Diceros bicornis minor: one gene and its partners. The protein of the gene in region 1 binds, or shares a complex with, the protein of each later gene. Links are inferred from orthologs where the notes say so. Each region holds a gene or a part of one and is shown in the gene's direction. Other genes may lie near its edges. The genes, in order: INTS11, BRAT1, INTS9 and INTS4.

What was found.
Region 2: the proteins of INTS11 (region 1) and BRAT1 are in contact, whole or in part, in a cryo-EM structure (PDB 8UIB), measured with the Homo sapiens proteins. The link is inferred for Diceros bicornis minor from reciprocal best matches to the Homo sapiens genes INTS11 and BRAT1. Residues at the interface, in NP_060341.2 of Homo sapiens: Leu9, Val15, Gly16, Lys27, Met35, His36, Met37, Gly38, Phe39, Arg43, Asp47, Tyr50, Thr58, Asp59, Asp62, His70, Leu71, Asp72, His73, Asp87, Gly88, Gln97, Pro101, Ile102, Glu105, Arg108, Lys109, Val112, Asp113, Lys114; in NP_689956.2 of Homo sapiens: Asp25, Thr27, Cys28, Glu30, Lys31, Asp34, Pro117, Ser156, Ser157, Leu158, Phe159, Ser162, Lys358, Ser359, Cys366, Arg367, Arg424, Arg427, Thr465, Lys468, Lys469, Trp514, Glu515, Asp518, Ser519, Glu522, Tyr560, Ser564, Ser604, Glu605.
Region 3: the proteins of INTS11 (region 1) and INTS9 are in contact, whole or in part, in a cryo-EM structure (PDB 8RC4), measured with the Homo sapiens proteins. The link is inferred for Diceros bicornis minor from reciprocal best matches to the Homo sapiens genes INTS11 and INTS9. Residues at the interface, in NP_060341.2 of Homo sapiens: His94, Gln97, Ala98, His137, Leu138, His139, Gln140, Thr141, Lys274, His277, Tyr278, Lys280, Leu281, Phe282, Ile283, Pro284, Trp285, Arg291, Phe294, Ser449, Pro450, Ser451, Ile452, Pro453, Val454, Gly455, Ile456, Ser457, Leu458, Leu461; in NP_060720.2 of Homo sapiens: Glu127, Gly198, Tyr199, Ser200, Gln201, Lys202, Tyr231, Glu338, Phe339, Ile342, Phe343, Glu345, Gln352, Lys354, Val355, Tyr356, Leu357, Pro358, Glu359, Pro360, Pro361, Arg511, Arg512, Tyr513, Glu514, Lys515, Ile516, Glu517, Ile518, Met519.
Region 4: the proteins of INTS11 (region 1) and INTS4 are in contact, whole or in part, in a cryo-EM structure (PDB 7BFP), measured with the Homo sapiens proteins. The link is inferred for Diceros bicornis minor from reciprocal best matches to the Homo sapiens genes INTS11 and INTS4. Residues at the interface, in NP_060341.2 of Homo sapiens: Pro183, Trp191, Lys194, Asp212, Gln288, Gln400, Gln404, Lys462, Met465, Ala466, Leu469; in NP_291025.3 of Homo sapiens: Leu159, Asp161, Thr162, Arg167, Tyr203, Gln207, Asp244, Ser292, Gly294, Trp296, Arg299, Lys323, Met326, Ser327, Asp328.

What each region holds. Positions count from the first base shown.
Region 1 is NC_080752.1:22,289,194-22,296,590, reverse strand, and holds the start of INTS11 (integrator complex subunit 11), read left to right. Parts: upstream 1-4,382; 5' UTR 4,383-4,461; coding exon 4,462-4,489; intron 4,490-7,329; coding exon 7,330-7,397. Other genes in the region: CPTP (ceramide-1-phosphate transfer protein), read right to left, coding at 1,157-1,679, 1,919-2,040.
Region 2 is NC_080765.1:11,888,635-11,896,487, reverse strand, and holds the start of BRAT1 (BRCA1-associated ATM activator 1), read left to right. Parts: upstream 1-4,839; 5' UTR 4,840-4,875; exon of another isoform or gene 4,876-4,891; intron 4,892-4,916; exon of another isoform or gene 4,917-5,229; 5' UTR 5,230-5,455; intron 5,456-5,552; 5' UTR 5,553-5,780; coding exon 5,781-5,907; intron 5,908-7,853. UniProt on the Homo sapiens protein: Component of a multiprotein complex required for the assembly of the RNA endonuclease module of the integrator complex.
Region 3 is NC_080750.1:64,983,681-64,991,475, forward strand, and holds the start of INTS9 (integrator complex subunit 9), read left to right. Parts: upstream 1-4,793; 5' UTR 4,794-5,056; coding exon 5,057-5,065; intron 5,066-7,795. UniProt on the Homo sapiens protein: Component of the integrator complex, a multiprotein complex that terminates RNA polymerase II (Pol II) transcription in the promoter-proximal region of genes.
Region 4 is NC_080746.1:53,437,349-53,444,343, forward strand, and holds the start of INTS4 (integrator complex subunit 4), read left to right. Parts: upstream 1-3,989; 5' UTR 3,990-4,097; coding exon 4,098-4,151; intron 4,152-6,995. UniProt on the Homo sapiens protein: Component of the integrator complex, a multiprotein complex that terminates RNA polymerase II (Pol II) transcription in the promoter-proximal region of genes.

The sequences.
Region 1 (7,397 bases):
CCAGTCTGCGTCCTGAAGCACAGCCCCTGGCTCTGTACTTGTGATTTATTTACGCTGGAAAAGCCATCGCCAGTGGTACAGGTCCCAAGGGTCCCTGAAAGCTTGCACTCAAGCACAACTGCTGCCCGGTGGGCACTGTCTCCGTGGCACCCAAGGTCCTGGGCTCAGAGTGAAGAGCCAAAGGTAGAGGCCAGCCCCTGAATGCTGAGTGATGGCCGGGCTGGGTGTGGCTGTCCACCAGCCTCTCAGCTAGGCAAAAGAGTCCAGGCCCCCTCCCTGTGCCATGTCATCCTGGGTCTCCTGAGCTCTGTGGGGAGGGGGCAGGAAGGGGAACACAGTACCTAGCTGGACGCTGGGAGGGGGAGAGGTCGGCATTGGCCCAGTGGAGTCATGGGCTCCCGGGGGCTTCGGGCCTATGCGGTGCAGACTCACAGGCAGATGCCTGGAGGAGCTCGGGGCCACAGCGTGGCTGCAGAGGACAGCTGACGTGTGTAGAGGGCTACAAAGGCAGGGAGGCCTTGACTCAGGGCCTCAGCTCCCACTGTCACTGCCGAGGACACATGTGCCCCTAGTAACAAGTAGGTGAGGGGTAGGGAGGGAGCCTGCAGTGCCAACTGCTGCCCAGGGATTCTCTCCCTGCCCTGGGGACAGCCAGCCTGGTGTGGAGGGGCCTGAGGCAGCCCACCTAGGCACAGACACCACATCCCGGGCCTGGGAAGGACATGCACCAGCGTCGTCGGCTGGCGACCAGGACAGAGTCTGTGTACTCCAGGGACCTGTGACCTCACCCCATCTCACAGACTTGACTCACAGGTGGGGGCAGCTTCTCTGGCCTTTGCACACACACTGATCCTGCTCTCTGCACTTCACGCACCAGGTGAGGCCTGTTAGACACTCATGTCACCTGGCAGAGGGTAAAGCTAAGATGCCATTGGGCAGAGCAAGAGGACGGGCGTGGAGCAGACGGCCAGCGCCTGCCTCCTCTGACCAGAACAGGCCACACTTGGTCCGTGGCTCCCAACAGGCTTGGCTCGTGCGGACAGTGGTCTTCCCGTTCTTGGGGCACCCAGAAAGGTCCGTGGTGGGACTCACGGGCCCTGGTTGCCCCAGCCCAGCTCTGGAGGAGGGGAAGCCTGCCCTGCTGGGCCCGCCGGCCCTAGGGCAGGTCCAGCAGAGCGTGCTCGGCGTAGAGCTTCTGGCAGATGTTGTAGACATGCTCAATGAAGGGCAGGGCCTCCCCTAGCATCTCCACAGCCTGCTCGGGGGACCCCACGTTCATGGCCTCCAGGAAGACCTTGCGTGTGGGAAGCGTGCAGAAAGCCACAGTGACAGCCCGGCGGATGATCCAGGGGTGGTAGGCAGCCAGCGAGGCATTGTAGGAGTCAGTGCAGAGCGTGGCAGTGCGCGCGTCCTCGGGGCTGGTGCGCAGACCTTCCAGGAAGAGCTGCAGCCAGCGCAGGGCGCGGTGCAGCCGGAGCACCGTCCGGCAGCCTGAGTCGGCGTGGTGCGAGCGCCGCTCCAGGTCCACCAGCTGGTTGCCCACCTCATAGGCCACCATGGACTGCAGGCTTCTGTAGTGCTCCCGCTGGGGGCTGCTGCACAGGCGCTCCATGATCTGCAGCTTCGTCACCACGTCCTTGGAGACAAACGAGAAGATGGTGCCCAGACTGTTCAGGAACCTGCAAGAAGGGAAGCAGGAGCTTAGCCTGGGGTGCAGGGAAGACCACCTCCTGCCTCCTGGGGCACATGTCCACCTGGAGGCAGAGGCAGCAAGTGAGAACAGCTGACCGGCCCTGGGCAGGCAGGAGCCTGGTGCATCCACGTGCCGTGCAGACTGCAGGTCTCGCACATGGGAAGTGTGGCCAGGAAAGCCCCGCCTTTGGGCTGGCCCTGCAGGGCAGTGGCCCCTTGCACGCACCTGACCAGCCCCCTCCAGCCTGCGAGGTAGTGGTCCAGCAGCACCTCTTCCTTCTCGTCGAGACACTGCTTGAAACTCACCAAGACAACTTTCAGATTGAAGTCCGACTCCAAGTCGTCCATTTTTCAATACGAACTGAAACACAAGGGGAGCCAGGATGAGGGGCTTTCTCACTGAGTCATCTCACTCCTCAGATTGTTATCTTGAGGGTGGAAGCAGGTCCGGTGGAAAGAACCAGCTGGGATCCTCTTGCTCCCCACAGGAAGCCCCATCCCCAGGTCAGCCCCTCCTCCCCAGGAGCTCATCTTCCTTGGGCCACACGGTCTCAGACACACCAACCTGACTCCACAGACCCTTTGCCCGGAACACGTGCCTAGACAGCTTAGCAAGGCCTCTCCTTGTCAGGCAGGCTTTGCCACACCACTCTGTTGCATCTTGCTTGTAGCATCCCAACTCACGGTTTCTTGCTTATTTGTTTATCGTTTGTCTCTCTCACTAGAGTGTGTCTGTTTTTACTAGCTGGAACATATTTGCTTGGTCCCTGCCTAGAGCCAGGCCCTCTTCCAGGTACTCAGGTGCACCATGAGTGAGACAAACAGCCCTGTCTTGTCAGGGTGACATTCTAGTGTGGTGGGTGTGAGACAATAACAAAGACAGGAAATTCCAGCAGGGTAGGTAACAGAAGGTAAACACAATGGAAAAAAAGACAGTGGAGTGAGGTGGGAGGGCCGGGGAGGGTGGTGGGGCGGGCCACACCATTCCTTGCTCACTGCTGCATCCTGAAAGCCAGAGCAGAGGCTGCAAGGTCAGCATTTGCTGGATGGATGGACAGACACCAGTCTTTTCACTCTTACTGAAACCGTACATGTCCCACACAGAAGGGCGGATGGACCAAAGATCTTTCCACACTCTGAAAACATCCACAAGGTCCTCCCTTAGCCCCAGAGAACCTTCCGGAAGTGCCACAGGCTAGAGTCCTGCTCTGAATTCTGCTCACATTCATACACTCACTCCACAAACATCCAAGCGCTGTGTTCAGTGGGTGCCATTGGGCACCCCAGCCCCTGCCTCCCTGAGCTCCCAGGGCCAGCACGCGACGGGCCCAGGGGACCTGGCGTCCAGGATGAGCTCTCACCCCACTGGGCCCGGGTGCTCCTGTGCCCTTGGTGCCTGGAGCCCTGTGGGACACCTGGCAAGGGAGGGAGGCCGCCCAAGCTGTGACGAGAGCCCCAGCCAAGAGCAGGACACCTGGTACCTGGGCAGCTTCTGCCTTCTGCTCTGCGGGTAGGTCACTCGCCATCCTGACACCTGGTCCTTCATCTCTGGGGAAAATGGGCCAGCACACCCTGTCCTGCCCACCGCTCAGGCTGCTGGGAGTGTCTGGTGGGGCCTGGCAGGTGCTGAGGCCCTGCAGGCCCCACAGGCTGGGCTGCATGTCTGGCATCAGGCGGAGACCCCAGAGCAAGCTCACCCTGTCTTCAGGTACGTGAGTCGGCTGTGCCCGGCCTCAGGAAGATGGTGCTATGGACACTTCTGGCACACCCCTCCCCTTGCTCTGGGCCTCGGTTCTGCGTCCACCAAGCAGATGGTCTCTGAGGCCCTCAGGGCTACCTTCCTAGCCGCCAGACATCCTGTGGGCTTGGAGTTCCTGCGCAGAGCCAGCAGCCAACAGGGGCTGCCAGGGGCCTTTCAGAGCTTGGAAACAACAGGAAGGGCAGTGACCATGCGGCTGGGCACTGGCAGCTGGCCAGCTCTGGGAAGGTGAGGATGCAGGGCACCGCCGAGCCTCTCCCAGGGGCTAATTCACGGCCCCAAGGTCAGGGCTCGGCGCGAGGGTGGCCTGAGCATCCGAACCCTGTGCTGCCAGCAGACTGGACACCCCCAAGAGAAGGGGACACCCACCCCGGCACCCCAGAATTAGGGGGTGGGAACGGAGCCCTGCCCAGGAAGTCCTTCAAGTCTCTTCCGGGAAGGGGGCTCCAAGCGGCACCGGGCAGGTCCCCGGTCCTGAGCGGGTCCTGCTCCAGCTGGAGGCCCGGGGACCGGGCAGGGGCCCGGGGTCCGGGTCAGCGCGGGAGCCAGGTCCTCGGCCGCCCCCTCCCGCCCCGGGGTCCCGCGCCTAGCTCCTCGGACATGCCCAGGCCCGCCCAGCCGGTTCGGTTGAGCTCGGTTCCCCCGCCGCCGCCGCCGCTCACGTGCGCCGCCGCCCACGTCCGCCGCCGCCGCCGCCGCCGCTCACGTCCGCCGCCGCCGCCGCCGCCGCTCACGTCCGCCGCCGCCGCCGCCGCCGCTCACGTCCGCCGCCGCCGCCGCCAGGGAACCCAGCGCCCCGCCCCCGGCCTCCGCGCCGCCTCCCGGGATTGGTTGCCGGCCGCCCAATCAGGAGGCCCGGAGCGCGGGCCCGTGTTTCCGGCGGGCACACCGGAAGCCAGCGCCTCGGGGCTGCGCCTGAGCAGTGCGTCGTCGCGGGTCGCGCTCGGCGGCTGGGTTCGTGGGGTTGACTGGGAACGCAGAGGCGAGGGGCCGGGGGCGCGGACGGCAGGATGCCCGACATCAGGGTCACACCCCTGGGTGAGTGGGGCGCGGGGCGGGCGGGGGCCGGCCGGTGGAGGGGCCGGGGAGCGCGCCGGGTGGGCTCGGGGTCGGGCCGGGCCGGCCCGCTTCCCGGCCGTGAAGGGAGGACGGGATCGCCCGAGCAGCCCTCCCCGGGCCTGGCCCCTGGACGGCGTGCCGTGGAGGCACAGGGTCTCCGTCCTCGCCGCGCCCGCGCTCGGCTTACTTCGCGCGCGGCTGGCGCGCCAGGCCCCTTGGCGCCTCTGCCCTCACCGCTCGCTCTCCTGCCACCCGCTCTGTCCGTCCCCGCCCGGTCACCTGCAGCCTCCCACGTGCGCAGTCTGGAGACCCACCCTCGGTTCAGTCCTTGTTTTACTTGATTTTTGCCACGTTAAAAAAATTGTTTTGCTTTTTGTAAAAGGTATAGATGCGCACTTTTAAAAGCCCGAGCAGTACAAGACAGTACAAAGGAGGAAAGACCACTCAGAATCCAGGGTCCTAGTAACAACTAGGGTGATCGTGTAGGTCGCCAGCCCTCCCGGCGTCTCTGGGCGTTGTTGGTGCATGCATGGCATGCACTGGTTGGGAGCCTGCTTCCTTCACTGGGCCCTGTGTTGCCAGCATCTTCCTGTACAGATGTCCCACACGGTTCCACGTGCTTTCTCAGGGTGTGAGGTCTTCCCTGGAATAGCCCACCCTGCCCTTCGTGTGGATATTGAGCTGTTGACAACCGTGATGAATGCCCCTGCCCCTGGCCTGCTGCGTCAGATTGCACGTTCCATGCTGCTATACGCATCATCACCCCCATGGCCTCTCCTAGCTGTTGGTACGGGGTCACCACCGCCCCGTGCCCTCTCCTGCCCCTGGCTTCTCTCCAGGGGCTTCTGTGGGACCCTCCTACCAGCCCCTTTCCCATGTGGCCCCTCTTCTCGCCACTCACTGTCCTTAAACAGTCCTATTGTCTTACTGTTCTCTTACCCCAAATCTGCATTTAGGTGCACCCCAAAGGTCGCTCAGCCACAGCGCCATCAAAGCAGAAACACTTCTGCTCCACTCTCTCCCTTCACCAGTTTCTGCCTTGAGGGCTCCCTGGTCACCTGGGCCAGATTTGGAGAGTCTTGCCGGGTCACTCCCGGGGCCTTTGCACAGCTGCTCCTCCCATCTTGGCTGTCTCTCTCCACTCTGCTCGCAAGTTGTCTTCTCAGGGAGGAGTTGCCTGTCGTGGTTTTGGAAGTTTCTGTGTCCCCTTTCCTGCGTTACTTTTCTCCATGGTGCTGATCTCCACCTGACGCCCTCAGCGTGTGTCCTACCTACGTGGTTGTCGTTTGTCTCCTTGCCCTGGATCGTCAGCTCCCCGCAGACAGAGTGTCTCCCTTGTCTTCTCCTGAGTCCTGTCCCCCTCTTGTGTGCCCTCGACTCTGTCCCCCACGTCTTTTGCCCAGTTCAGCCACTCTCTCTGCTCCCTGGGATTGTTGTGGGTGCTGTTGGGACCAGGCAGCCAGCGCCTAAGAGCTGGGCTCTGAAATCTAGAACGCGGTCTCTGGCCCCATGCTTAGGAGCCATGTGCCCGTGGGTCAATCCTGTGTCTTCTGTGGCTCCACGTCATCTGTAAAGAGGAGTGGCCCTTCCCCTCTCACAAATGTTTGGAGGGTCTCTGAGCCAGGCATGACTCCTGGGCTGGAGGTGCAGCAGGTGGCAGACAGCTGAGATCCTGCCCTCAGGGAGGCACGTCCTAGTGGGCACAGCAGCAGGCCTGTCAGAGACCTGGAGGCTGCCACCTGTGGCTGGGCTGCTTGAGGCAGGCAGGCGAAGCTCTTGGCTGGTGTCATCTGCTGTTTTCACAGGTGACTGAAGCTTCTCGAGGACCAGCCCATGTCCCACTCTGGGCCGTGGCCTGGTCACCCTGGTGTGTGTGGTGCTACCTGAAGGTTCAGGTGGCCGGCAGAGGGAGGCTGGTAGGGTTCAAGATGGAGACCAGGTGATTTGGTGTCATCAGGGCTTGCAAGACCGTGTCCCTTTCCTTCTGGGTCCCCAGACTCCAGAGGAGGTGACCGATGGCCATATGAGGTGGCCAGGATGTGCCCTGCCAGGGGGAGGTTTCACTGCCTGGAGCATCTGGGCAGGGCTTGGAGGTCAGGAATGTGGATGGGACTTAAGTCACGGTCTGGGCTGGGGGGCCGCCGTGAGGGGCACGGTGGTGAGCTCGTGTCGCCCATGTGCCCTGGGGTGAGGTGTCTGCATTGTGGCCACCATAGTTGGCCATCGCTGGACAGCTGGGGCCATGTTTCCCCTGGGCTGAGGGCTAAAGCCACACAGGTGTCCCTCTGCAGTGGCACCACCAGGAGGCGCCTGACCCCTCTTGGGGGCAGGTCCTGGGAGAGGGGGCATCACAGCCCAGATGTGACCCCAGCCGAGGTTTCAGGAGGGATGGTGAGTTTCCACAGAGCCCCGGCTTGCCTCTGTTGGTGCTGAGACCACAGTCTAGCACCCACGACTCAGTGTCAAGGCGGTGACCTTGAGAGGTCAGGGGCTTCTTCTACCTGACCCTGGGCAGTAGTGGCAGAGGCGCATGTGGACTAGAGCTCGCTTGGTGGCCTTGACGCTTTGTCCCTTGCCTGCCCGCATGTGGAGGTGGTGATGCTTCTTGGCTCACACGTCGTCCACACTGCATCCCTGGGGCCATTTCCCCAGTCTCCTGAGGGCTCTACTGGGCCAGGGACCCAGGGCGCCCCGTGGGGTCTGGGGCGGGTGGCTGGGCCTTGGCCTTGGGGCTGGGGCCATTGCTTGCAGGAGCAGGGGAGGGGCCGGGGGGAAGGGAGAAGGGCAGGCAGCGCCTCTTAACTCACTCTCCTGTGCAGGGGCCGGCCAGGATGTGGGCCGAAGCTGCATCCTGGTCTCCATTGCGGGCAAGAACGTCATGTTGGAC
Region 2 (7,853 bases), on another chromosome or scaffold:
CAACAAATGCTCTTCTTACCTTGTTCTAGAAACTGTGAGCCCTGTTACAAGTGCTGGCTCTTCAATCACTGGCGACCCGCCCAGGCTCCATTTCACCCCTGTGGCTCTGTCAGCGGGGCCTGCAGCCTGTGTACAGCCGCGGCACAGGGAGCCCCCGGCACATGGCAAGTGCTCTGGGAAGTTCACAGGCAAGTCCAGAGGCAGCACCATTCCAAGCAACGGGGGGGACTGCACAGTGCCTACCCTCAAGAGACTCCTGTCTGGTTTAGAAGAGATCCCAGCGCAGCAGAGAAAGCACCAGGGAGCCTGGGCCAGGGCTGAGTCTCCTATATGCCGGGAGAGCTTTGCCCCAGTTCTCTCACGAGACTGAAGGCCAAGGCACTGGGGCTAGCTTCTTTCTGTGTCCTCAGAGCCTGACATGTGTAAGGGGCTTAACAAATGCTTATGTGTGTAAGAACGTTTACAGCAGCATTGTTTCTAACAGCAAAAAAGTGAAACAAAGGGGTAAATGCGGGGAAATGGGTCAGTGAAATAGGGGTACCCCCAGGTTAGTTTTTAAAATCATGTTCTTGAAAATGTGTGGATATGGGAAAATGCTAACAACAAATTAAATGGCAAAGGTTACTAAAACTAAACAATATAAATATGATCTCAACCTTTTAAAGTGTATGGAAAAAAGATGCATTGAAAAAAAGATTGGAAGGAAATACATTAAACATTAACTGTGGTTTTCTGTAGGCAGTTAGATTATGGATAATTAAGTTTCCAAATTTTCTTTAATGGGGATGGATTATTTTTACAATCACAACATAAGAAGTCACTTTTTAAAGATGAAGGAGCAGTAACTGAGGCCCGTGGAGATGGCAGGCCTCCCAGGTGAGCAACACTCCGGGCCTTGAGGAACAAGCAGGAAACTTCATCTGCTCCTAGAGAACAGCAGCACGAGCCCCTACTCTGGGTGAACTGTGCAAGCCCTGCTCAGCACTGCGCCCTCAGTGAGAAGGAAGCAAAGTCCCCTCAGTCTGCAACCCTCCAACGGCTTCCTACTGTGCCCTGAATAAATTCAAACTCCTTGCATGGCCTGCAAGGCTCTCCATGGTCAGGCCCATGCCCATGTTCCATCCACGCCCCCTGCCCCTAATGAGATCCCAGCAAGCTCTCTCTGGGGCCCTGGAACACACTGCAGTTTCTCACCTCAGGGCCTTTGCACTTGCTGGTCTCTCTGCTCTCCAATTTTTACCAGACTGCCTGCTTCTTGTAAAAGAGATCAAGGCACGTGTGAGCTCCTCAGAGCTGCTGTTCCTGGCACCCAATGTAAGGCAGCCCTCCCCAGCCCACCTCCCTCACATGGGCCTGTTTTATTTTCTCCATAGCACTTTTCTGACATCTTAATGATCTGCTTATCGCCTTGTTCTCCCCTCGCTCCACGGGAACGCGGCTTATGCATCCACATTGGTATCTCCAGTAGACAGTGCACCCAAAGCACTTGGTAAAGGAACGAGCTGAGAGCCCGCTCGGCCTGACCGGAGGGTTACAGTAACCTTAGGGTTACTTGGGGCACCTCCTCCGGGAAACTTTCTCTGATCACTGCCGGGCACAGCCCTGTTCCCGGAGCCTGGGGCTTCCTCCCTCACTCTTGGGATGGCTCGGGCCGGTCGCCCCGTCCGTTGCCCCCGGCCTCGACTCGGGGTCGTCCCCGGCCCTGGAGGCACGGGGTGGGCGGGCACTTACGCAGTAAGCTCCGTCACCCCGCGGGCCACGGTCGCAGGCCCGGCCTCTCAGGCGCCGAGGCGAGGGCGCAGCGTCCGGGAGGGCTTCCTGGAAGCGGCGGCCTGTGCAACGGCGGGCGAGACCTAGAGGCAGCTGGAGGCTGGCCGAGGGGCGGCGACGCCCGGCCGGCCGCACGCTGGCGGGGGCCCGAGGTCCGCTCTTATGCGGTAACAATATTGGCAGCTGTCACCCGGCGGCCGCCGGCCCTGCGCCCCTTCCTCCGGCCCGCAGACCCGGCGAGCCGGAGGGAGCGACGAGGCCCGCCCGCCCGCGCTTACCGTCTCCGATGCCGACTCCCCGGCGCCCAGCGACATGGCGGTGGCGCTGCCCGGCCGCCCCTCGGCGCCGCGGGCGAGGCTGTCGAGCTCCGGGGCTCCGCAGGCCTCCCGGCCGCCCGCCGCCTCCGGGAATGCCCGCGCGCCGGCCGCGACCCCGCTGCCATAGCAACCGCGCCGGCCCCCACCCCCCACCCCGAGCCCCGGATGTGGCGGACGCCCGGTGAGCCGGGCCGACCTTGCGCCTGTGCTGCGACACCCGCGGGCCGACCGGCAGCGCGCCCGGAGGTGCGGGAGGAGCTGAAACAGCGCAGCAGCCGCGGAGTGGGCCGCGCTCAACCGTTTACAGAGGGCGTCCAGGCCCTTCTCTCGTACACACTCCACGACGAGCCTGTGAGCTAGTCACCAGAGCAGGACGTTAATAAGTATTTATTAGGTTAACGTTGAAAGGGACAAGGGGCTTGTACAGTGTCACAGGCTGCTAGTACTGGACGCCTGGCATTCAGAAAATTATCCTCCCTGATCTCTATCCTAGGTTTTAGGGCTCGGATCTAACAACGGGACAGCAAAAAATAATGAGTGCCCGGCACTCAGTGCATGTCATGAAGATCTTCAGGCGCCCTGGGCTTCAAAGTTCATTTAAATTATTGCTCTTTCTCCTCATACAGGTCTCCAAGGGCATCTACTCTGTCCCCTAACCCTGCTTCATTTTTCCAGCCACCTGACATTTATTATCTATGAGAACATTCCATGTCTAGAATGTAAGCTCCCTGGGGCGGGGGCTTTGTTTTGTCCACGGCTGTACCTCTGTCCCTGGCACACAGCAGGTGCTCAGTCAATAGCTGTTGGGTATCTAGCGAGTCATGCAACTTCTCTGTGCCTGTTTCCTCAGATATAAAGTGGAGAAACGGGTTATTGTGAGGATCAAGTGAGTCAATATCTGTAAAGTGCTTAGTACAGTCGCCCCTTCCAGAGTGAGTGTAATGTGACAGTGTTATTATTACTACATGGTGACTGAATGAATGAGTCCTCTCATCCATGTAGCCTGGTGTAGTAGAAGGAATGCCTAGCAGGTTATTAGTGTTCTAGTTCCACCTCCAACACCTAGTACGGGGTCCATGGCCCTCTTTCCATCAGGTTCCTCATCAGTACAAAATGGGCTGAGGTGCCCAGGGGTGGTCTCCCAGGCTGTCTCCCTACGAGCAGGGAAAACTGAGCTGGTTAGTGGTCAGGAGCCCAGCTTTTACAGTCTGGCCACCAGGGTGGTTTATAAAAGGCAAATCTTACCAGGCCACTCGTCTGCTTAACAACTTCCATTTGCTTCCTCGGGGTATTGTCCACACCGCAGATGAGGGCTTTCAATACCACAACTACCTAAGCACTGGTACCTCCTGCTCCTCTCCCGCTCCTGGTGCCCCGAAAACTCTCTGCCCTTCCTGCTTCTGTTGTTTCACTTGCTTTCATTTAACTGTAGAGACATTACATGTCCACAACCTTGTATCTATCTGCTGTTCTGAATTCTGAAAACCTTTCAAAACTCACTGGCAAAACCTGTTCTGACCTCAACTCATCGGTTGACAAAAATCTGAGCTAAAGTTATTTACAGTGTTTATATTATACATTCCACTTGGAGAGTATATTTCACTGCAGAACTGTTAATGCATTTGAATGTGGCGTGCATCAGCCCCTGCTAGAATTGTAATCCCATATAGAGCATGTATGTACCGTGTAACTTTTCTAAAATCTGAACAATTCTGAACCACTCATCCCCAAAAGTTTCAGGTAAGAAATTGTGGACCTGTATAATAAAATATTCAACTGTGGAGCCAGACTGCCTGGGTTCCGTTCCAAGCTGTGCCAGCCCACTAGCTGTGAGACCTTAGGAGTCTGCCTCTCTGCACCTCAATTTCCTCATCTGAAAGGATGGTAACAGAACCCACCTTCATAGAGCTGCTGCAGAATCACCTGAGTTTATATTAAGTGAAGCACTTAGCACAATGCTACTGTAAGATGTTTTCCCCCACAACTGCCCAATCAGGCAAATATTAGTATCCCCATTTTCACAAGGAGGAATCACAATTCAGGGAAGACAACTGTGCAGTTCAAACCTTTTCACCCAAATAGTTCTAAGGGGTGTGTGTTTGTGTGTCTGTGTGTGTGTGTGTATAAGGGAGGCTGGTTGTCCCAAGTAGTTCCCCCATCAAAGTCTATATTTTTAAAGTTTCCTTTTTATTTTAACACCCATAGGAATCCTCCTTTCCACGTCCTCATATATATGTGGTGTTTCCCCCAATCTTGCTGAAAAACTGACGGTATAGGAAGAGGAGCCTTGTTTTTATCCACTGGTTTTGAGAACCTCCAGCACACAGCCGAAAGCCCCCGAGAACCCAGTTTTTAGGCCAAAGGACAGGAGTTTAGCACAAGCGATGAAGACGCCTCGTTGCAGCACGCGCTTCCCACCCGCCCTGACATGTGATCCCTGGCGGCGGGGCGACGCCCCTTCCGGGAATAGCCCCACCCCGTCCTCCGGAAGCCCCGCCTTCCGGGCGCAATGTGCGCCGGACGCTTGGGCACGTACCACTGAGCGACCCAGTGGGGGTGATGGCTTGGGGCGACCGATTTGGCCCCGGCCTGTCCCCAATGCCTCTCAGTTTGAGCTCGTTCCCCAAGTCTTGGCACTCTGGGCTCTCAGAGTGGCCGCTAGGGGAGCTTTCACCTTTCCCCAAGCCATCCCCGTCCTCTCCCCCTCCGGACCCGGAGGTGGCGCGGTCGGGGCGGGGCCTCGGCGGCGGCGGGGGCGGGGCCTCGGCGACGGACGGGCGCGGAGTGGGTGAGGAGCGTGCTGGGTAGGGTCGCGGTCGCTGTGGCTGACCCCGTGCAGTCGGGGCTTGGGACCTAGGACGGGCGGGGTCGGGAAGCATCCCGGGGCCGGCTCGCATGGGCTGGGTCCTGGCCCGACTGCGGCCGCCGGCCCGCGCCCCGTCTGGACCCTCCGGGCGGCCCCGATCCGCGGCGGGGTTCACAGGGAGGGCTCCTTCCGCAGAGACCTAGCCTCGCCCAGGATGGACAGACGGATGCCCTAGGCCAGGCACACCCACTCCTGACCCCGACAGACAGAGTCACCGCCCCCCCGCGAGAACCCTCCCTGACCACCGGACCGACGGACTTCCCTGTCCCCTCCCAGGCTGGACACGCTGGTGCACACCCCGGCCCGGGAGGGACCGATGGTGGACAGAGCGCCTTCCCCTCCGCGCACACTGCTAGCTGCAGAGTTGTCAGATGCAGACACACTGACCCCAGGAGGGACAGAACAGACAGACACTTCCACCCTGGACTGAGACGCTCTTCCTCTGTGCGCGTGTCTGGCCCCAGAACGTGCACACACCCCTGACTCTGGCCCCGCAGCCTAGGTGAGCATCATGCTGTTCCCCTCCCACCAGAGTTCAAGGTTGGCAGACTTTAAGTTCCTGAGGCCTGATGGTTTACACCAGACTTGTTTCCAACCAGGGTGGCCAGGACTTGGCCCTGCTTGCTCTTGACTGCCTCCAACCCCAACTTAGCTGAGGCTTTGCATCCATCCTGGCAGCTTGGAGTTTCCCTCTGAGGATTGTGATCTTCCAGCTGCCTGGCCCGAGGTGGAAGTTCTGGGGCCTGAGCAAGCGTGGGGGCTGCCTGTGACTAGGGCGGGTGGAGTCTGGCCCTGACGTTTCTTTTGTAGGGATCTCCGGCCTCATCATGGACCCGGAGTGCTCCCGGCTTCTCCCAGCTCTCTGTACTGTTCTGGCGGACCCTAGGCAGCCCGTGGCAGATGACACCTGTTTGGAGAAGCTGCTGGACTGGTTTAAGACGATAAGTGAAGCAGGTAAGGGTGAGGGTGCTCCTGTTGACTGTTTCCCCAGAGGCCAGAGGGTACACGGGGCTCTCTGTCCTAGGGAAGGGGCGTCCATCTGGTGTCCTTCCTTCACATCGGAAAGGTTCAGCCTGGCTAATTGGTGACACATCACACTGAAGCCTGAGGGAATGACCAGGAGAGTTTGAGGTTGAAGTTCTTAGCTGATTCCAGCCTGATTCAGGCCTCCCGTTGGTCAGTTCATGCTAGATGGCTGCAAAAGGCACGGACAAACTTATTTTGTTGTTCTCGTTGCTTTTTTTTGTTTAAGAAATCAGCTTTTCCTTCTGATTATGAAAGTAATACATAGTCTTTAAATAAAACTTGAACAACACAGAGGAGTAAAGAGGAAAATTAAACCACCATCAACATTTTTATTTCCTTCTGACCTTTTTCCCTAACATATCATAAAGCTGTATTTTTCTCATGAAAATGAGGTCACACCATAAATACACTTTGGTGTCTTGCTTTTGCTCTCTTACCATTCTAGTGGGTGTTTTCCCCATGGAACACGTTGATTTTATTGACTGTATGTCACTTGCTGTATGAATGGACCATAATTTATACAGTCACTCCACTATTGTGGGGTGTTTACATATGTTCCTAATGTTCTGTTATTATAAATGACGCCATAATGGCTTTCCTTGTACATAAGTCTTCTCATGTAAATGTTTGTTTTCTTGGCTGATAATTGCCTTAGGATAGATGCCATGTTGTTAATTTCTGCTGTTTGTTGTTTACTTTGGTTTACCCTATTCTCTTATTTGCTTTTGAGTTGAATATTTCAGTCTTTCTCTTTTTTCTAAAATATGCATTGACAGCTATACATTTCTTTGAAAGTGTTGCTTTAGCTACACCCTGCAAGTTTTACTGTGCAGTATTTTTATTGTAACTTAGTTCAGATATTTCATGCTTTTCATTATGATTTTTTTTTCACCCACAAATTATTTAAAAGGTTATCTTTTAGATTTACAGTATGGAGTTTTTTTCAGTCTTTTTATTATTGGTTTTTAATTTATTTCGTTGGAATTAGAAAACGTCTGTATTTTGATTCTTTTATATCTTGAGGCTTTTATTGCGGCATAGTACACAGACAAATTTTGCAAATGTTCTGTAGATTTTGCTATATGGTATTGTTTTTTGGTGTTTGTAGGCTCCTCAAGGGTGGCCTAGTTCGTAGTCAAATTTTAACAATTATTTTTGAACAGCTTTGTTTGCGATATAATTAACATACCATGGAACTGACCCACTTAAAGTGTATAATTCAATGGTTTTTAGTAAATTCGAAGGGTTGTGCAACCATCGCCACAATGTAATTTTGCAGCATTTTCATCCCCTCGAAAGAAGCCTGGTGCCCATTAGCAGTTAATCTCTGTTCCCTCCTCCCCCAGCGTGTACTCAGTTTTCCTCGGTGTTCTACGTGATGGAAGGAACGTGGTCTCTACACTAGTTCCTTAGTTCAAGTTTATGTTGTTCAAGCCTGCTGTGTTCTTGCTCATTAGTTTGCTTAATTGTTTCTGAGAGATGTGTGAAAATCTTACACTACGATTGTGGAGGCAACAATTTTTCTTTGAAATTCTGTATTTTTTTTTCTTCATATACTTTGAGTTTGGGTTAGGTGTGTGCAGGCTTAGACTCATGTCTTCTGGGATTTTCTCTTTGAACAGTGACTTTCTCCCTAAAGCACTGCTAACGCTCTTGGCTGTCAAGTCGGTTTTGTCTGATATCACTCTTGCTGCCGCAGCTTTTCTAAAATGAGAATTTGCCCACTACCCTCTCAGCCCGTTACTCTCGGCCTTTCTGTGTTGTCATACGTCATCGCGTCTTATAAACAGACTGTTGCCTGCCTTTGGTTCTTAATTTAATTTGAGCATCGCTTTCTTTTAACAGACCATTTAATCTCTTTCATTTGTGAGCTG
Region 3 (7,795 bases), on another chromosome or scaffold:
CCTTCTCCTTTTGTTTGTAAATGTAAAAAAACAAAAAAAACGCTATCCTTACAGCCCAAGTCAAGGATTTGTAAAATGCTGCATTAGAATTATAATAACCATTGGAAAAACTTACTGTAACTTCAACCTTATTACCACTGTAAGCGTAAAACTATGCTAAAGCCAGGGCCTTCCAGTAACTAAATGCTCTTGGAAAGTGTCCAAGACAATGTTATGGTAAATATCCAACTTGTTTCATCTAAAATCAAGAAAAACAAGTTACCTGAAGCACTAGATTATGTTTAAGTAGACTCTAACTAAAAGTTTTACATCAAATAATCACTTGGAAAAATCTTTACTCTGTACTTATGATGGGCTCTAAGACCAGTAAGGGTCATCTGGGGAGATAGCCACACCTAGGAATCTAAGTCACATATTACTTAATACTACTTTGAGAAACATTTTAATCCCAATAGCTTCCATTTTGAAAGAAATAGATTTTGGCAGAATCTGTTAAAATAATGGTGTAAAATGTGCTGGTGGTTCTCTGGTTTCTAGCTTGAGCCACTGCTGAGAGTCTCCTGTTATTTGTGGTTCAGATTCCTTTTTTACAGGTTGCATGTCTGATAGATATTTACCAATTTCAGCTATAAACAAACATAAAGGCGCTTTATATATGTGAGTGCATACGTGAACGTACATACATGACACTCTAGACAAGCTGTGATTTCTACTTAAAACAACTTTTTTATAAATTGAAGTTCTACTAAATTGAGAAGTAAAAACCAACAGTTAAGAGAAAAACCTAGCCAAATAGCAAAGGGAGCTATAAAATTAACTCTGGAAGCCAAAAAACCTAAATAAAGCAGGTTCATAAAACAAACCCGACAGATTTTCACTCAGCACTTACAAGTTTATAAATGTTTACGTTTTTAAAAAGTTGAGTGGTACACCAACTTTAATTTATGAAAAATGACATCCTGTGATAAATTTCTAATTCCCAAGAGAAATAATTCAAGTTTAAAGATCTGAATACAAAAGTAATTGAAGGAAGAGCTGTAAAGAAATGAACAGAAAAAGTAAATGTGGTTTTACAGGAAACATGGAAGCTTTCTGAAACATTAAAAGTGGAATGGACTGAATATAACACACAAAAGACCCAAAATGAACAAATTAAGCATAAATATTCCTAATGTGTTCAACATCTACTGAAATAAGCAATTCCATTCCACTCCATACTTGCCACAAAAATTGCCATAAATTGGTTACTTCTATTTTTTTAAATGATGAAACAATGAGAGATTTGTTGCAATATATTTTATAACTTACCAATAGTGAGCTATTAAGTTTCTATTAGTGATGCTTCAACTAAGGATTTGCACTAAGATGACTGAAATCTGTTCGTACAGCAGTGAAATTGAAGCCTCACTAAAGACATTCAACATAAAGCTGACCCCTAAAGGCTCCTTGATGCACATTTGCAACCACAGTAGCCAGGATATGCAGTACACTAAACTAGCAACAGATTGGTTAAAAACTGTTTGGATTTTCAACTTCCCATAATACAGGCAGCATTTTTAGAAGCAACTGTATTAAAATAAATACGTCTTTCACAGTTACGGGATGAAATTTTAAGCTGGACAGGCACCAATGCCCTGATTTTCTACTTTTTTCGTAAACCATATGACTTCCACATGCTGAGAATGTTTTATGCTTTAACCTGCAGTAAAGGCTTTACATCATTTTAATGCTCAGTGCTTAACATGCAACAGAATCACCTTCAATGAATGCAAGGAATATATTTCGTTTACTTTAATGATTTCAACCAGACTAGTAGTCAGAAAAAGTTTAATGAAAGCTTTGCTCAGTAAGTAACTTTGCATTTCCATAGAAGAAAACAGACAAAAAATCTGAGGTAACGTTGAGTGGAACAGAAAATACTCTTATATTTTTCCAACTCAACAAAATTTTAGTTTTTTAATTTCTAAAATAAATATTGAACATTTTAAAACTCTATGTCTAACAGAATATCTTTCAGCAAAAAACAAAACAAAACACTGTTATATAGTTACATAGGATTTTTCTCCAGTTTTTGCAAAGTAATGTTTCAAGCTGACACAGAAGGTTAAAACAAACCTAGTCTATAACAAACTAAAGGCTCAGCTTTGTACCAACATATTCTATATTCTAAATTCGAGATTCAGACGACATCAATTTTTTTTTATTCAGGTCAATCTAAATATATACGCTACCTCATGCTTATAGTTAGCTTATCTGTGTGAATGAACCACAGAAATTTCAAATCAAAGGTTATAAAACATATCATAAAATTACACGCTGTATCTACATCACTTTCAGTTTTCATGAAACCTAAGGTCCTTTACTGATAGGTTCAAGAATTGATAAGTTTGGAGCAGAATATGTAAATACATTAAATTTTCAATAGTCAAACAAGAAATTATGCCAATTTCTCTAGTTATTTAAAAGTCCATTACACTAAAAACTGTCACAGAAGAAGGGTTACTGAAAAACGTTATTTCAGACTAAGGGAAGTACAAAACATGATCCTAAATTCTCCTGGTGTAATGTTATTAAATATTAAAGACTGTGAGAAACAAGAGATGTTGCAATCCTCTTCCCTTTATAACTCTAATTGAAACTTGAGAAAAAAAATCAGAATTCAGATTTTCCGAACTTGGTTTTATAAACATAATTCAACTAGATCTAACAACTTAGTTGTGTGATTTTAAAATAAGTTTAACGCAAAGCTCTGCAATCCTGATTCGTGATAATCACCTGAAACATAAATGCAAAATAAAAACAAATGCAAATCCTTTTCATCTGATGATGCATTTTATAGTAGAACCACAAAAAAGCACAACAATATTAGCAGAAACTAAACAAACATACACAAGAGGCATTATGTCCATCCAGGAAGAGAAATGTACCATGCCAAGAAAGAAAGGAAGGACTGAAGGAAGGAAGAAGGGAAGGAAGGAAGGAAGGGAGGGAGAGAAGGCAGAGGTTTCTATACTTGGAGGATCCCAGAAAAATAAACTAGCGACATCAATCTACCCTATAGGATACATAAGGTTTTTTACAGCTTCAGGGTAAATAAAAATAGCACTTTATGCCATTCAACTTTATATAGTATAGTATCTTTAATGCCAACTGCATTCTCCCCTACACTCACCCAGTGCTTCCTCACTCTTCCATACCAGCTTTCAGACAAATGCGAGACAGAACAGGGTGGGGTAGAAGAAAAATACAAGAAGCGCCTTTCAGCTACTCCCCCGCCCCAATAATTTCCAACCGTTTTTCCTACTACGAAAATAAGTCGCCCTATCTCAAGATACACAACAGTCATTCTGTCTCTAGTAGACACACAGAGACACACACACATGTCAGCACTCCCGACCCCTACCCCACGCCCCCGAATCTTAAGTAATGTTTAATATGTTTAACACGAGACGACGAGATACCTCTACCTACTATTTCGGGGTGAGGGTGGGTGGAGGACTCCTTTCAAAGTAGCCCCAATAGTGTAACCAAAACACGGTTCCGGAATAAAATATTAAGAACACTTTTCCTTTCCCACCTATCTACCGACTTAAGGATGCAAAAATCCATCTCCACACATCTCCTGCCCGGAGTTTGGGGCGGAGATCTGGCCGGGGAGGGGGCGGGGAGAAGTAGTGGGAGCGGGCAGCAGGACACAAACGAGTTGCTCACCCCAGCTACCCCGCACCACGTCGCCAGCCCGAAGGGCCAGCAGCCGGACCTCATGCACACTTCTCTGCCCAGGCCCAGTTAAAAGCTATGGCTCCAGCTATCTAACTTCCTATCTATAGACATTTATTCAAGACTAACATATCACACAAGTACACGTCACACAGTTTAGCACACAGTTATACACCCCAAACAAACCCACACACCTCAAATTCACCTCACAGTTTCCCAAACTCCAAACAGGAGACCCCCACCTCCAGGATTCAAACCTTGCGCCCATAGTGCAGGAAACCAGGAGAAAAGAGTTGGGGAGCAGCCGACGCCTTTCAATTACCGCCCCCCACAAACTACCCCACCCCATACCCTGCGTCCGTGTTACTCACTAGGAAGCCCCCCGCTTCCTCCCTTCTCTCAATCGGGCCGCTTAAGAGACCCATCCCCAGCCCACTTACTTTCCCCCCAAAACCTCTCCAAAAAAAAAAAAAAAGTGAAGAGAAAGAAGTGAGGAGAGAGACTTGAGGTAGTCCGGCTTCAAAACCGCTCGACTCACCTCAGAATCCTTGCTGAGTTCTCTCCGCCCGGCACAGCCCCCTCCCCAACGTCCCAGTACGAAGGGCTGAGGTAGGGAGGAGGGGAAAACGGGAGGGGGAGGGGTGTCTTCCGCGTGGGGCGCTCGTCGGGATGGGTCTGGGGAGGGGTTGAGGCCGGCGCAGGAAGAGGAGAAGGGGGAGGGGAGGCCCCTATCTCCCAGTCTACCCCTGAAAACCTCCCTTGTCTCAATCACATCAGACTGACTGTCTTTGTCTGGCTGACAACCGCCATATTGATAGCAACAGCCCCTCTCCCACCTGCTGCAGCCGGGCGGCCCTGGGAGTTGTAGTTCTGCCTCCCTTGAGTAAAAGGGCGAGACTTGGCGTCCAGAGGCCCCAGGGAACTACAGCTCCCGGCAAGTCCCGCGCCCATCCGCCTCCCCAAAGGGAGGAGGAGACAGGGGCGCCAGAGCCCTGGGAACTACACATCCCAGAATACCATGGGTCCCAGGCCCAGAAGAGGGACATGATATCACGCTAGGGTGGAGAGGGAAGATGAATTGGCGGCAGGGAAGAATTTGAGCTGACGGAAGGCGGTGTTCGGAGAGGAAAGAGAGGAAAAGGAAAGATGACCACAGGTCCCATGATGCTTGGAGAGATGACTACATTTCCCATGATGCCCCGGGAAGGGGGCGTAGGGAAGAAAGACTGCGTGTCCCGCGATGCTCTCGGTGGGCCGGTGGTAGAGATTGAACCGGAAGACGCTTTCTGGGTTTGAGGGAGTCGGGTGACTGGAGTTAAACAACCAAAAGTCCAATATGAAACTGGTGAGTTTTCGCATCTAGGTCACAGGGCAAAGGTGATGCCATATCCTTTTGGACTTCGTCGTTTCCACCTTGAGAAGGGTACCGTCGTGGAGGAGGGGTGGCAGTTAGGGAACTAGAAAGTGGGGTGGACTGAGGAAAGCTGCTGTTGGTTGTTGAGGCTTTTTGAATCCCACCTCACACTCCCCCGCACGCGATTGCCAGGAGATCTTATTCATCCCTTGGCGGGTCCCTTTGGTAGCTAAGAGGTTGACTATCACCTTTCTTCACCTAGGAACTAAGGTTGGACTTGAACTAAGTTTGACTTGTTTCTCAGCTGCCACGTGAGTGTTACAATAGGTTGTTAACTTCTGTCCACGCGATTGGCCCTTCATTATCGTTTCCCTCTACCGTTGTAGAGAAGGCTTAGGTTAAATGTGAGCAGAGTAGAAAATAATTTGGCAGAGCGTTATCACTTATTAAATTTTCTTCTTTAGACTCCTAACTGCCCTTGGAATTCAGAGGAGGTCAGGGTGTGATCTTGGAGAATTTGACCAACCCTGTATAAGATGGGCTGAGAGGAAGTGTTGAGGCATTCCAGTCTAGGGCTGTAGCGAGTGCATGAGCCAAGGTTAGATGGAGCATACCAGTATACCTAGAGAAGTCTTTTCATCTCAAAACTCAAACGCTTGACTTATAGGAAAGCTTCTCAGACCTTTATTTTGAGCCATTTTACTCTCGTGCACACAGATCTAACTAGTTTATTCCAACTCTATGGAATTAGTAATAGCATAATTAAGAGTAGAAAAGCAGGTGTGAAATGCTGGTTCTCAACCTTTTAAAAATCCATGTTCCTGTGGCCACGTATTGTCAAGCTTTACTTTCTGTACCTGTTTTTTTTTTTTTTGGTGGGGAAGATTGGCCCTGAGCTAACATCTGTGCCAATCTTCCTCTATTGTTTATATGTGGGATGCTGCCGCAGCATGGCTTGAGGAGCGGTGTGTAGGTCTGTCCAGGATCCAAACCCCCAAACCCTGGGCTGCTGAAATAGAGTGCGAGAACTTAACCACTATGCCCTGGGGCTGGCCCCATACTTTCTGTAATTTTTATACAAAAACAAAAGGTTTATTTTCTTAATTATTTGAACATGCTTTTCCAGAGCACACATAAATGCTACAGGCATATACTCTGCAAAGTGTCAGCTGTTTTCTGAGGAATCAGAGAATGTATTAAAAGTAGATTCAACTACAAAACTGTCTCCATTTAAAGACGTTTGTGTAAGGGAAAGGGTACAGATCAGTAAACCTTGAGAGTATCAGTTTGATTCTGGGTGGTTGTGTGAAACATTTAAGAATGCAGAATTGAAAGTCAACGCCCTTGCCCTAAAGAAGCATGCAGTCTACTGCAGAAGATAGAAAAGTAAGCCAGAATTATAATTCACTGTATTCATGGTAAATGAAAGGCATGTTCAGGATTTGGGGAATTGATGATGACTGGGGGGGTGGGGGGAGTCAGAGACAACTTCCTGGAAGGGTAACTGTTGAACTGATAAGAAGGATGAGTAGGCTAGGGCTGTTCATGAAGACAGTTCAGCTTATAAAAGCAAAAGAGCTTGGCTCCTAAATGGTTGGAACACAGACCATATGTCCTCAATAAAGGACATGGAAGGGAAAAAAGTAGAAACTTTTTTTTCCTTTAAGAACCAAAAGATACCTCAGAGAAAGAGAAAGTGTTCTATCTATACTCCCTCCCTCTTTACTTTCAAGCCACGTATTACATACTAAAACTCATTTGGTAGTTGATAGATGATCTATAATGTGGAATTTGTATCAACATAGCAAAGTGGTTTCAAAAACATTGACGCTCACTAAGTTAGACTTCTGTGTGTCGTGCCTCCCATAGAGTTGGAATAAATCCTCCCAGGGCCTAAAATTTTTAACTTTGTGTACTGCTTCAGGAATATGTACTAAGCCATATTTTACATTTATAATCGTGAAATGCAGAAATACATTTTTTTGAGCACTTTCTTGTTTTTGAGATTATGACTTCCAAAATACCCTTCCCATGTACAATCTATGACTACATCTTGTTGATTCTACTTCTGTTCTTGAATAGATCTGTTTCTCTCCTGTCCCACTAATACTGCCTTTGTATGGGCTCTTTTCACATGACACTTGGAATTCAACAAGATCGTCTAACTGGTCTCTCTGCATTCAGTGTTAACCCTCTCCAATCTATTCTCTACTCTGCATCTCAGAAGTTGTTTTAAATTGCAGAGTTTCATAAAACCCTCAGTAGCTTCCTTTGCCCTTAGGATAAAGTCTTACAATTCTTAACTTGGCTTACTTGGTTCTGTAGAATATGACCCTGCCTACCTCTCCAGGCTTGTGTCTAGCCCTCATCTTGCTTGGTCTCCTTGTTTCAATTATATTGCACGTCTTCCAGTACCTTGAACTCACCCTACTCTCGTTTGCCTCTAGGATTTTAAATATGTTCCATTGCCTACAACACTTTTTTGCCTGCCTAATTTCTTCATATATTTCAGATCTCTCTTTAAATAGCACTTCTTCGAAGTCTCCTTGAATTAGGTACCCCTGTTATATACTTCCATGGCACACTTCCGTTTTGTTACACTTGTGATTATTGGTTTTATGTCCGTCCTCCCTCATGTAAACTCTGTGTATTCCCAGGGCCTGACATATAGTGTGATGCCACTAAATAGTAGTTGAATAAATAATTTCTGAAGGATTATCA
Region 4 (6,995 bases), on another chromosome or scaffold:
CTGAATCTATGGAAGTATGGCAAGTCAACTTAGTAGCTGAGGGACTGTCTGACTACATGACAACCCCCTGATCCCCAAACTTAATGCCTTAAGACTACAAACATTAATTATTTCTCATAAGCTTACAGATTGGGCAGTTCTTCTGGTCTTAGCTGGGCTTACTCATGCATCTGTAGTCAGATGGTGGATCAGCTGGGGTGGGGCTGGTCTAAGATGTCCTCAGCTGGGTCAACTTGGCTTTGTTCCATGTGGTCACTCACTCTTCAGCAGACTAGGTTGGACTTATTCTCATGGCAATGATAGGGTCCCAAAATCAAGCAAAAGGCCTGGGGAATTGGTATGTGGATGGACCTTGAGGCCTAGGCTCAAAACTAGCACACCATCACTTCTGCTACATTCTACTGGCCAGGCACAAGGCCAGCCCAATCCAAAGGGTGGTGATACAGATTACATCTCTTAATATAAGCAACTTCAAAGCTACATTTCAAGGGGTATACATACAGAGAGGGGGAGAATTGGGGCCATTTTTGCAATCATTCTGCTACACACTGGATCTTTTCCATCAGTGAGGGTGTGGTGATTTATCCTCACAGGAATAGATACATATTCCAGACTCAGATTTGACTTTCCTACTGCCTTAGACTGAATATTTGTGGGCCCCCTCAATTCATATGTTGAAAACCTAACCCTCAATGTGATGGTATTAGGAGGTGGGGCCTTTGGGAGGTGATTAGGTCATGAGGGTGGAGCCCTCATGTATGGGATTAGTGTCCTTATAACAGAGATCCCAGAGAGCTCTCTTGCTTCTTCTGCCATGTGAGGACACAGTGAGAAGCTGTCTATGAACCAGGAGGTGAGCTCTCACCAGACACTGAATCTGCCTGCGCCTTGATCTTGGACTTCCCAGCCTCCAGAACTGTGAGAAATAAATTTCTGTTGTTTATAAGTCACTCAGTCTCTGGTATTCTATTATAGTACCCTAATATCTATATATGACCTATTTGTTCTATTTTCCTGGAGAACCCTGACTAATACACCTAACCATAATGTTTATGCCAGCAATACCATTCATGGATACCTTATTCATTTTTATGGTATTTCATACATTGTTTCTGACTAAAGAGCTTATTTTATGGTACAAGAATTACAGCAAAGAAGCTTGTTGGTCTTGCTAGGTACGCCATCACTTAGATATAGCTGTTATGATAAAAATAGTGTAGTGATTTTTTTTTTGAGGAAGATTGGCCCTAAGCAACATCTATGCCAATCTTCCTCTACTGCATATGTGGGACACCACCACAGTGTGGCTTGATGAGCGGTGTGTAGGTCTGTGCCCTGGATCCAAACCCGTGAACCCCGGGCTGCCAAAGTGGAGCATGCAAAATTAACCACTATGCCACTGCCTGCCCCCAAAACAGTGTAGTGACCTTTTGGAGACAGTTATGGTACTGGCTGAGAGACAACACATTGTGACTATGGGGTGCTGTCTTACATGTTTGTGATATATGCCTTATACCAACAGCTAAAATATAGTACTGTTTCTCCCACAGTTAGAATACATGGATCTGGGAACTAAGGAGTGGAGTTAGGAGTGGTTCTTGTCACTTTTACACCTAAGAACTCATTTATGAATTCTTAGGGTCAGTGGGTTTGGAGTACTTAGTCCCCAAGGGAGGAACAGTTCCACTAAAAAACACAGTTATTGTTCCATTACGTTGGAACATGTAACGAGCCTGCCCCTGGTCATTTGGGGCTCTTGCTGAGCCAACAGGCAGAGAAGGACTTACGATACCAGTCTGAGTGACTGACCCCAATTTCCAAGGGGAAGTTGGGTTGCTGTTATACAATAGGGACAGGGAAGACCCTATTTGAAGCCTAAGGGATTCACTGGGGTACCTCCTTGTATTCTCATGTGCAGTAATGAAGGTCAAAGGAAAATGTCATCAATTCAATCAAGACAGTTTTTCATTTCAGAATTAAATAACGGAATACTCTTGTTTCTGTACCAGTCTGGCCTCAGCTTCTCAATTTTATTTCCATTGCTCCTCCCTGTTGCCTGTATGCACTTTACTCTCAATAGGAACTGAATTTCCTTTGGTTTTCTTTTTTTTTCCCCTGGTGAGGAAGATCAGCCCTGTGCTAACATCCGATGCCAATCCTCCTCTTTTTTATTGGCCTTGGGCTAACATCTGTGCCCATCTTCTTCTATTTTATATGGGATGCCACCACAGCATGGCTTGACTAGCAGCGCGTCAGTGCACACCAGCGATCTGACCCTGCGAACCCCCCGCCACTGCAGCGAAGTGCGTGTACTTAACCTCTGTGCCACCAGGCCAGCTCCTCCTTTGGTTTTCTGAGTGCACCAGACTCCTTCCTGCAGCCATGTATCTAATAGTAATGATGATAATACTTTGAACAACTGGAGTGAGAGAGCTTAGGTGCATGTTTAACATCTCTGAAATCAGGATACATCTTAAGATTGCTTTTGGCCAATAGTTCATGTGTAGACTGGGTCATGGCAGTGCATGTTGTTATCACTTCAACTGAGCTCTGTGCATGTATGGTCTTTAATTGCCATTTGATGTATCTTCAAAGAGATTACCCTATAATTTGCATTGAAATGAAAAGTTTTTATGTGCACAAAAAGGCATGGAAACACACCACTATGACATAGGACACAAATCTATGTCTAAATAAGTTTAAAAGAGCTCTTTTGGTAAGTATACATAACAAATATAAGTAGTAAGAAACCATTGTTTTTAATTCCAGCATTTAAAAAATGTATTACATAAAATTATGGTTTGTTTTACAATTGCTGGCAGCTTAGATTTGATAGAATATGGTAATAACAACAATAATAGCTGCTAACATTTGCTGATGGCTAAGTTACTGTTTACTAAGTGCTTTTCATTTCACTGGAACATTTGTATATGCCGTAGACTCTGTGATTTGGGATTCTTTTCTTTCTGGAAAATTCACTATTTTGAAGCCAGATTAAAAATCGTTTCCTCTGTAAAACTTTCCTGAGGCATCCTGAAGAAGTTAGGTCTGTTTGAACCGCATTCCTCTGTTATCCAGCACACTTTGGTTGCTCTCTCATTATCAGTTTGGGTGTCTCTCTTCCCAGTTAGACTGTAGGACCTTGAGGGTAATGACATCTTTTATTCGTTTTTGGGTCTTCTGTACGTACCACAGCCTGCCGCTTTTTTAAAGCATCCCGCATTAACTCTTTTGAAAGAAAAAAACAATGAACAGCTCAAGTTTAAAGAAGGATGTAAAACTTGACCTTGGATTTATTAACACTAACCCGTGAACCACACTTTACAGTCTGCGAAATGTTTCTGCATTATTTTATTCTATTGTCACTACATCTTTGTCGGGTTAGCTGTTATCAGCGCATTTGTAGTTGAGGCTGCTTGTTCATTAAATGCCAGTCGTAGTCTGAAGCTTTGCTGCTTGACTCATGGCCTCAGGATTCTTTCCACTCTACCATGGCTATCAGAGGAGGGGTTGATTGCTTAAGGAATGGGTAGCTTTTGAACAACTGGAGCGAGCGAGCAGAGAAAAGCACCCCAGACCAGGAGAGGGATGGCGCATGGCTTGCTCAATAGGAGAGCTCAGGGAAGCTACAAGCAGCAAACGCTGTGAACAGCAAAGGATGACGGAAACGCCGGCTCGGCCTCTTTCTGTTATCTCGAGAGACAAGATCCTCACGCAGCTCCAAAATTTGCCTTTACTGCGTATTTCCTCCCTCCCCTCGCTCTGTTCCGTGCCGGTCTCTCAACCACTCTGAGGCCACCAGCAAGCTCCCGGAAGCTCTCATTGGCTCATCTGCCCTGTCAGTCCCGTCTCCCGACAGAGGCCCCGCCCCCTCCGCGCTACGCTCTAGTTTTCGTGCCCCCGGTGTGCGAGGCGTAGGCGGCCAAATCCTGCCGTACTGCCAAGGTAGTCGAGCAGCAGGAAGCGGCCTCTCTTTCCCGGAGCCCCGCTGCCTTGTGGGACCGTGGCGGGCTCCTTCGGCTTGGGCGGGATTTCCGGATTCCTCCGCCCCGCCTCCCTTGTCGAGTACGGAAGCTGAGAGGGTCCGCGGGGCAGCCATGGCGGCGCACCTGAAGAAGCGGGTGTACGAAGAATTCACTAAGGTAGTTCAGGTAAGCTCCAAAAGGAAAAGTCCTGAATCGGTCCGGGGTAGGGGAAGGTTATCCACGCTACAGGCATTTTGCCAGAACAGACGCCACAAATCTGGGTTGAGTGCAGCCTATTTTGATAGGCTCTCTGAGACTACATTTTAGTGGGCGTGTCCGTTTGCCGCTACTGTTGTCATTATTATTAATATGTGCAGTCTGACACTTTTTTTTAAACTTTATTTATTTATTCCCCCCCCCCAAAGCCCCAGTAGATTGTTGTATGTCATAGTTGCAGATCCTTCTAGGTGCTTTATGTGATACTCGGCCTCAGCATGGCTGGAGAAGCGGTGCGTCGCTGCACGCCTGGGATCCGAACCCGGGCTGCCAGCAGCGGAGCGCGCGTACTCAACCGCTAAGCCGCGGGGCTGGCCCTGACACTTTTTTTTTTTAAACTTAGAAGAAACAAATAGCACTTTACAATTTAGAAAAATATCCGTTATCTCATTTTATTCAGATTACATTAGCATCCTCATTTTACAGATGTGGATTTTGAGGCTTCTGGAGGGGTACGAGGACACAGAGCCAGTTAGTGGCAGAGCCCCTCCTAACTCCCGTTACAGAAAAAGGGCTCAGGGACAAGTTGGCTGTATGTAAGGCTCTAAGGGATTGGAAGAGGAGTCTATAGAAATCCTCAAGACTCAGTCAAAGCAGTCGAGGATCACAGGCTTCATAGGGGTAGAACTCTCCATTGGTGGAACAGCTCACCGAGGAAGGAGGGTAATACCTTCCTCCTTTAGAGTTGTTTAAGGACTGGTGGGAGGAGCCCCTGTCAGAGCAGTGATTCTCCATGTGTCTCCTCAAAGATGTTGCTAAAGTAGAGGTTGCTCCCAAGACATCCCTTCTGTCGAGCTTCTCAGACTGTATGTGTATACACATCACCTGGGGATCTTGTTAAAATGTAGATTCTACTCAGTAAATCTGGCAGGGGAGATGAGTCAATAATCTATTTCTGACCAGCCCCCAATTGATGCCAGTGGATCAGCAGCTTCCTTAGATCCATAGACCACCCGTAGGTCCTTAGCCTTGTAGAATAGCAAAACTTAGGTCATCCAGCAGGAAACTGGTCCTTAAACATTTCATTCATTCCTTCAAGGAGAGTTTATTAAGTAAATGAGTGGTTACTGTGTATCAGGTATGGTGAAAGGTGTTGAGCTACAAAGTCCAATATGCATTAGGGTCCCTGCCCCTTAGGAGCTCACAGGCTAGTGGGGGAGACAGAACAGCATATCTGTCATTATAGTACAGAGACATAATTGCATTGACAGGTCAAGTCTTCCTCTCTTGCAGTTCCTTTTCTTAAAAACACCCTAGACAAACTCCCTAGCCCTTTGTGATTTGACAGTATTCCTTCCAGCTGTATGACTTTCTTTTTTGTTTTGTAGACACATCTTTGTAGCATATTCCCATTGTCTGTAGGGAAGTTAGTCTGCTCCTTATTCTTGTTTTTTCTTGAATTAACTTTGATTGAGATTTAACCATGATACTTTTTTGTTGCTCCTTTTTATGTGAAATTAGTTTTCCTGAGCTTTTAGAATGAGCCAAGATTGAGGAAACCTTTTCTAACTTCACAGAGTTCTCCCTTCTGTGGTTTGCTTTCTGAGATTTCCTGGCTGTTTCCCTTGCCCACTTTTTTTTTTTTTTTTAATTTGTGGTAAAATATGCATAACATAAAATTTACCATTTTAATCATTTTGAAATGTACAGTTCAGGGGCATTAAATACATTCACATTGTTGTGTAGCGTCACTTCCTTTCTTCCCAACGGTCTGTGGTTCCCACTTCCTAAGACTACTCACCCCTCCTCCAGCATGCCACGTGTTTGCACCTCTCCAAACTTTTGTATCTTTTGTCTCTTTTACATAGAATGGATGTCATTCTTCCCTTTCTTTTTGTTCTCCACCCAGTGGACTTATATTTTTGCTTCAAGATCCAACTGAAATCTTGGTGGGAGTTCAGTGTCTTCCTCCCCTGCTTCTGTAGCACTCTGTGGTACTCATCTATTTGTACTTATCCCTCAGTGCTACTATAATTACCAGTGTATGTATCTCACCACGGGTCTGAGCTCCTTGAGGGCAGAGATAATGCCTGGTTCATCTCTGTGTCCCCTGGATAGACCATAGGGCCTGGCTCACTAAAATGTTATTGATGATTCAATGATGGCAGGTATCCGTTTGTCCTCCTCCTTACACTCTCTAGGGAAAAAAAATCTTCCCTAGCTTTTGAGCTACTTGCAGCCCAGATAACACTGAAGACTGAATTTGTGTGGAATAGGATGGAAATGGGTAAGGATTTTAAGAGAAGAGCTCATTTCTTCACTTCATTCTGCATGAATGGTTACCATAGAGTGATGAAATGAGTTCTTAGTGCTTCTTTTCTCTTTCCTGTGCTATGAAGATGAGGGAGAGAGAACTGATATGTATCTAGTGCTTATTATGTCTTGTACAGTAAAGACATTATACTTTTCCAATATCCCTGTGATATAGGTATTGTATTCCCTTTTATAAAAGCCTCCCCTAGCTAGTAAGTGGTTATTGAACCCCAGTTCCTCTGACTTCAAAGCCCTTAGTCTTTTTTATCATGCCATACTATTTATTCCTGTCTAGAATAATCCTAATTTCTTCTCTGTAGAAGTATAAATTTGTAAAGAGGTGGTTGTTCAGGATATCAAAATGGTGCATCAAGTGTTAAGGAAAATTATTGATTACATTTATCTTATGTTATGATTTTTATACCCCATCAGGGCCTGACTGAAGCCCTGGAGTGACAGGTACCCTTTTACATGAACTTTTTGGCACCCATTATGTGTAAC